Nothobranchius furzeri: one gene and its partner. The protein of the gene in region 2 purifies or fractionates together with the protein of the main gene of each other region. This does not show direct contact. Links are inferred from orthologs where the notes say so. Each region holds a gene or a part of one and is shown on either strand. Other genes may lie near its edges. The genes, in order: wdr6 and ftsj1.

The links.
Region 1: the proteins of ftsj1 (region 2) and wdr6 purify together in Homo sapiens (affinity purification with mass spectrometry; 3 studies listed by BioGRID and IntAct, with this or other methods). This does not show direct contact. The link is inferred for Nothobranchius furzeri from reciprocal best matches to the Homo sapiens genes FTSJ1 and WDR6.

The regions. Positions count from the first base shown.
Region 1 is NC_091755.1:33,771,532-33,775,061, forward strand, and holds the end of wdr6 (tRNA (34-2'-O)-methyltransferase regulator WDR6), read right to left. Parts: intron 3,254-3,530; coding exon 3,137-3,253; intron 3,018-3,136; coding exon 2,201-3,017; 3' UTR 612-2,200; downstream 1-611. UniProt on the Homo sapiens protein: Together with methyltransferase FTSJ1, methylates the 2'-O-ribose of nucleotides at position 34 of the tRNA anticodon loop of substrate tRNAs. Required for the correct positioning of the substrate tRNA for methylation.
Region 2 is NC_091754.1:42,118,215-42,121,451, reverse strand, and holds part of ftsj1 (tRNA (cytidine(32)/guanosine(34)-2'-O)-methyltransferase), read right to left. Parts: intron 1,950-3,237; coding exon 1,871-1,949; intron 1,796-1,870; coding exon 1,743-1,795; intron 1,615-1,742; coding exon 1,561-1,614; intron 1,416-1,560; coding exon 1,313-1,415; intron 1,175-1,312; coding exon 1,091-1,174; intron 966-1,090; coding exon 862-965; intron 1-861. UniProt on the Homo sapiens protein: Methylates the 2'-O-ribose of nucleotides at positions 32 and 34 of the tRNA anticodon loop of substrate tRNAs. Requisite for faithful cytoplasmic translation.

The DNA of each region.
Region 1 (3,530 bases), on a different chromosome or scaffold from region 2:
AACGGTCTGTTTAAACCCAGCAAGCACTTCTTACCTTCTCCGTATCCATCACCCTCATTTAATCAACACTTCTACCTCCTCTGTTTTCTGTCATCCCTTCTTCTCTTTATATCTGACAGCGAAGGGCACAAAGGACTCGGAGGAAACAAGATCCTGGGAGCTTTCATTAGTTTGGTCTTCAGGTTCCACCTCTTCAACAACCACTTGGCCCTGTTTCATCTGTCACTCATACGTTTCCCACCATCTCTTTTTGTTTCTTTCTCTAATTTCATTGCGGTTGCAGTTAGTGAGATGGGCACTTGACAAAAAGTAACATGAGATGAGTTAAATATTAAAATATTAATGGTTATCGGCAGCCCTCCACCCCCAGTAAACACACACACATCATGTTAGAGCAACATTGCTACGGTTCTTTTCACTTTGCCTCCAAGCAGTCAGACTTTTCTTGTAATCTTTTATACTTTTTGTACAGTAGTTCTGCAGACTTTCACTTTGCATTTGAACTTTGGGTGCTTTATCAGTCATTTTCTGCACAGCCCATGATCCTGGCAGAAAAGATTGGCGTGCTTTAAATGAGAAAAGTGGCGATTCTGGAAAAAAACATCCAAACAGAAAGGGGGCAGTGTTTATTTAGTCACACTTTTCTCCATTTTCATCTTTGCAAACAAAACAAAGAAGCACGTTTTTATAGAAATTGTAAATTCTTTGGCAGCAATAATATCAGATGTTGATACTGGCTAACCTTTTACTCTCGGTGCTGAACAGTTCCCAGATTCTAAGAGATGCTGAGGTCAGGTTTTGTGAAGGGTCACCTGAGCATACCTGCTCGGACACAACCAGATAACACCTCCGTGTGGAAGCTTTTCCTTTCTTTACTTCCAGAATGTGCTGAAGATCTTTAAAAAAGAAACCCCAACAGATTCTGACAAATCTACTTGTGTTAAAAAACAGCGGAATGTTGAAAAATATTCTTGATCATGTGTTGAAGTGGTATGTTTGAGCAATGAAAATCATTTCAGGATTTTCTGAATACCATCCATCCATCTATCGTCTGAACCCGTTTTGTCCACGTAGTGGCGCCTATCTCCAGCGGTCAACGGGCAATCAGGCGGGGTACACCCTGGACAGAGAGCCAGTCCATCGCAGGGCAACACAGACACACACAGGACAATCAAACACACACACACACACACCTAAAGACAATTAAGACAGGCCAATTAACCTAACAGTCATGCTTTTGGACTGTGGGAGGAAGCCGGAGTACCCGGAGAGAACCCACGCATGCACAGGGAGAACATGCAAACTCCATGCAGAAAGATCCCAGGCCGGGAAGCGAACCCAGGACCTTCTTGCTGCAAGGCAACAGCTCAACTCCACTGTGCAGCCATTTTCTGAATACCTTCAACCCAAATTCTTTTAATGATTTACAAATGGCAACTTGCTTTTTCTCCTCAGATGGAAACAGGTGCAAACTGTTTGAGCCCATAACACACACACACACACGCACGCACGCACGCACACACACACACGCACACACACACAAGTTAAACAGTTTCAAGCACAGACTCTGCATCTTTTAAGGAGCAAGATTTGGCTCCAGATTCCCAAAGTGGATATATGAATAGTTTTAAATGGCAAAAATGCAAATTAAACTTGAGTTAGAAGATGTTTTATATTCTTACAGAACAGCAATAAGAGTTTGAATCTTTGAGCACTAAATGCTTTCTGCAGGTGTTAACTGGTTTTAGAAAAAAATCATGTCTAATTTTTTTCCACGCTGCTGGAAATAAATGTTCCTTTCAGAAAATTAAACAGGTGATTAGTGGGATAAAAATAAGATTATTAACTTATTTTTTAGCCAGATGTTAGTATTAGGACTTTTGTGTGTGTTCAATTAAATTCAAGTTTATTTATATAGCGCCAAATCACGACAAGTCATCTCAAGGCTCTTCACATAATAAACATTCCAATTCAGGTCAGGTCATTAAGCCAATCAGAAATAATGTTTCCTATATAAGGAACCCAGCAAACTGCATAACGTCACTTATAGGTGTCACAAGGTGTTACAAGTATTATCCTCGTAAAAACGCATTCACAACTCATAAATAAATTAACTTCATTTAAAAACTATTTCATCCAATACACAAATGGATATATTCAAAAGGATTCCACGTAGTTTGGTTATTTCTGTAAAGTCACATTAACTGGATAGTTTCTCTTCGCACACCTCAGCCTCCATTACTGTAGTCTCGATTTTTAGAAGTTGGAAGCCCTGGCCACAAGCCAGAACCCATCCCACCCTCTGTCCCTTTTTGCAGCTCTCACAGGAAGACTTTGAACCAGTTTTCCCGCCGGCGTCATTCCCCGTTTGATCACCGCTAGTCTCAAAGCATTTTCCATCGCTGTTTTCCCAAACTGGGTCAGGTTTCTCCTCACATTTTCCTTCCTCCTCTTCCCACACTGCCAGGTCTGCAGTATCAGCAACATGGGAGCACAGCGCCCCACGGTGGGTGATGCTGGTACCGCTGACCCTCCACAGACAGACCCTCTGATCTGAGGAGGTAGAAACCAGACATCCAGGGCTGAGGAGCTTCAGGGCAGTGAGAGGGGCAGCGTGGGCCAGCGGGACGTGGGACTGAGAGTGCAGGTGAACCCGAATCTGATTAGGAGACCAAACCTTTGTCTGTGGGAACATGTCAGCATTAGAAATCTGTAAAGATCCTCTGTTACCACTAGTCTTCCAATCTTCTGGGTATTGCACCCTAATCATAGACACTGTCAGCTGCCCATCATCTCCTCCACTTGCAACAGTTACTAGGCAACCGCCCTCTTGTCGTCCCCGCTTCTCTACCCAAACAACCAATGAGTTGATGCCGCTCTGGTGGGCGGGAATGTCGAGGCAGGGGATTGGTGGGGTTGGAGCACCACTTGAATTATCAATGGATAAGAAATGAGCTTCAGTCAAATGCCACACAGCGATTTTCCCATCTGTAGCAGCGCTGAACAGCAGTTTACACCTGGGAGAGACAACAGTAATGATTGCTATTCAGGAAGAACTGCTAAAATAATCAAAAAAGAGCTAAATTCAAATAAACAAATGACCACATTTTAGTTGCATTCATTCTAAGAGGCTCACCTGTTGCCCTTTTCATCTTCCAGGCTGCAGGTAGCGACACTGAGCACACAGCGCTGGTGGTGAAACGTCTCCCACAACAAGTCAATTTGGTTTTTACCTTCGCAGACTGCAAACAACCTGGGAAAACAGCAAAAAACGACATGTGTAGGTAAATAACAGAAACACGTTGATAATTTCAGCTGCATAAAAACAAGAGTACTACATAATCTACCTTTAGGTCATTCATCCCCGCTTCTGTAAGAGTGTAAAACTCCTCAGTTTAACTGGTACTGGCATTATCCTGGTACACAATAACCTAAATGCAATACTCCGTTCATGTTCAATACTTGTGCAATACCAGATTTACATATTACGTCTGTATCCCTTACAGTGCAATACCCAAATTATATTTTAT
Region 2 (3,237 bases):
CGGACGGACGTGGAAAAACATGGCGGACCGGCAAGAACTAGTATGGCAGAGGTTCGTAAATATAGACATTTGTATGATTCAGCTCTCAGAGATCACCGTGATCAACACGTGGTTAATAACTCTTGGAGAGAAATAGCTCGCACTGTCGGAAAAGACGAGGACGCTGTTAAAAATGCTGAAATGCCATGTTGTAAACAGTAATTTCTACTTCTACTATGGTGTAGTGTTGGATGCTTGCCGTAGAGCTCCATGCTGCCCCCTACAGTTTGGGAGAATATTGGCTCACCGCAGAGACAAGCCGCACGAACCATAAACGCTGCGAGTTGTGAAGCGCGTTCCATCCGCGAGCCGCATCACCGCGCGGAAAGTGAATGTGTCAAGCATAAACCAAGCTTGAGTCATACACCTAAAATGGTGCTGAAGGGGTGTGGTTGACATGCAAGTCACGTGTCTGACCAGGACCGGTAGTGAGCACCACAGGGGAACAAAGACGAGGCTTCTTTTTTAACACTTTAACCTTGTTTAATACGAACCGTTTATACGTCACTCAACAAACAACAAATACAAAGTTAAACAAGAAAAATCTCAATTTTTCTTCCAGCAGACATTTGTGCTCCATGAAAAAAGAAAATGTGTGGTTGGTCTTCACATGTATGAATTACTCGCCCCATGTCATTTATTGGACTGACGACTAGCGGTGGGGAAAATGATGCAAACCACCTAACCCTAGTTCAGTCATTTTCTCGTGTATTTGTGGACAAACCGTCTCTGGATCTTCTTCTGGAGGCTGCTTTTGCACTAAATGAGGGGTCAAAGATTAATCACGTAAGAGGGGTCGTCTCTGTCAGCGAGTCTTCTCACCTGCAGGGAGTAGGTTCTGTCAGAGTCGAAGGCGCTCAGATCACCACATGCCAAGAACGGAACAATAACACGGTTTGGACCCTCCAGCTGGTTAAAGTCAACATCTACAAGGACAGCAGCCAGAAGTCAGTGTGAACAAAATACCCGATCATTCATAGCTGAGGTATCAACCCAACTGAAAATCCGAGTGAGAAGGCCAACTGCAGCCTGTTAGAATCATTATAGTTACCATAAGTCTGGTCCAGCAGGGGGTTGGACATGTTGGGGACATAACCCTCAGGGGGACAGTAATTCTGACAAACAACAAACGCCTCTGCAAACACAAACACACATGGAGTAGAAAATACATGGTGTGTGTGTGTGTGTGTGTGTGTGTGTGTGTGTGTGTGTGTGTGTGTGTGTGTGTGTGTGTGTGTGTGTGTGTGTGTGTGTGTGTGTGTGTGTGTCTCACCAATGCTGGAGTTTCTGCTGCTACGAGGCTTAGAACAGGTCACTGTGCTGAAGAAGATCTTCAGCTGAGAGTACAGTAGCGTCACATCTTTACCTCGGAAGATCTGAGCCATGCAAGTCAGACAGCAGACACGACCAATCAACAAAAAAGCACGGCTTACTGTCTAATTTCCTGTTGCTCGTGTACTTGTGAAATCGTTTCCCTGGATAACGGAGGAATGAACACTGAGAGCTGCAAGCTGGTCTCACCTTGGCTACAAACGTCCCTCCAGGCTTCAGGACATGGGTGGTGATGTTTAGAGCCTGAGAAGAAGCAGCTGTCAGCCAGGAGTAACTAAACACCTGACAGGTGACCACAAACACCTGAACACTCATACAATATGTTTTTTTCGTCCCCACGGAGGAACTTGTTTGGACTCAAAAGTACTCACGGCCAGCAGGAGCTGAGCTTGGATGTACTCGTCCACGTCGTGAAGCCCCGTTACTACAAACAGCAAACAGGACAATGAGGACAGACCCCAAAATCTAAAGAGAAGAGGTGGGACACGGTGGAGCTCACCGTCTGGAGCTCCATCACACACCACCAGGTCTGCTGGCTGCCCCTCAAAGTGGCGTATGATCTCCTGAGCCGTTGACACCTGAGAGGAAACATGACATGAGTCACAGGACAAAAGCAAACACCGCTACAAGGACGAGGAAGCGCCGGTGTAATCGGGTCGTCTCTCTATTAGGTTACAAGTTATTATGTAAAAATCGGATCTGGCCTTCATGCAACAGAAAAACTAAAGCAGAACTAAAAACATCTCCCACGGTAACCAAACAGAAACCATGTTGCAAAACGGATTCTCGTGGGATATTTGAACGGTTTCCCCATAACTTCCAGTCTAGACTGGAAGCAGCCCAGAGAAGTACTGGTCTGCGTTGGGGCTCAGCTTCAGACTTGGGACAAAAACCTGAGAAGATAAGAATCTGATGTTCAAACACATTTGTGGCGGTGCGGCGGGACGAGCACGTCTGCGTGACGGCTGATCTGATCTGATCGGGTGTGTGTAACCCCGTCGTAGCTGCTACTCGCTACAACAGTAAATAAAGCTGAAACTAGGGCTGTCGCGGTTGAGGAATTCCTCCTGCGGTGATTCAGGGTGGCTTAATATTGCGGTGTGCGATATTATTGCAGCCCTTTTTTTATTGCAGCACTATCTAAACATAATGTTTACACATTTAAAAAAGGTTAAAAATTGCCGTGCCTTCTTTTATAACACTTTACTGAATGCAGATCAAAGGGCAGTAACAACACAGATCGCAGTAACGTTTGTTTGTCCGACAGTCGGAGTCCGACTGAACTTAAAAACAACAAAATTCAGGAGGTCAAACTTTTAAATGCAAATTTGGCTGCAGCATCTAACAAATAAGAAACAAGTCCCCATTTTGTTTAGTTGTTTAAAATCAAGCATAAAAAATTACATGTACCGGGCGCGCGCGGGGCGGGGGGTTGGGGCGCACTATCATTTCACTTTCACACACACACGAATGACGGTGATTTATAGCTCGGTCACGTCCTTGTTACCTACAAGGAAAACCAGCATGTTAACCTTATACGGTTTGAGAGAGGATCTGAGAGGGGTGGCAACATTTCCAGCAACACTGAAAACCCTCTTGGATGGTGCGCTCGTTGCACTAACGCACACGTACCTGCGTGCGACTCTGGCGAGCAAAGGGAATCTCTCCCGGTTGTTGCTCCACCATGTCAGGGGGGTTTCTTTAGGGTGGATGCGTTCCTCCTGCAGGTAGCGAGTGAGCTCCAGCTCGGCTCAAACTCTCTTCGGGACGGTTGCAGAAGCAGTGCTTGTCCGGGACTTCAGCAGGTCTCCGAGCGTTTATTATTATTTTTTTGCCGCTGGTGGCAGCTCTGTCCCGGCCAAGGAC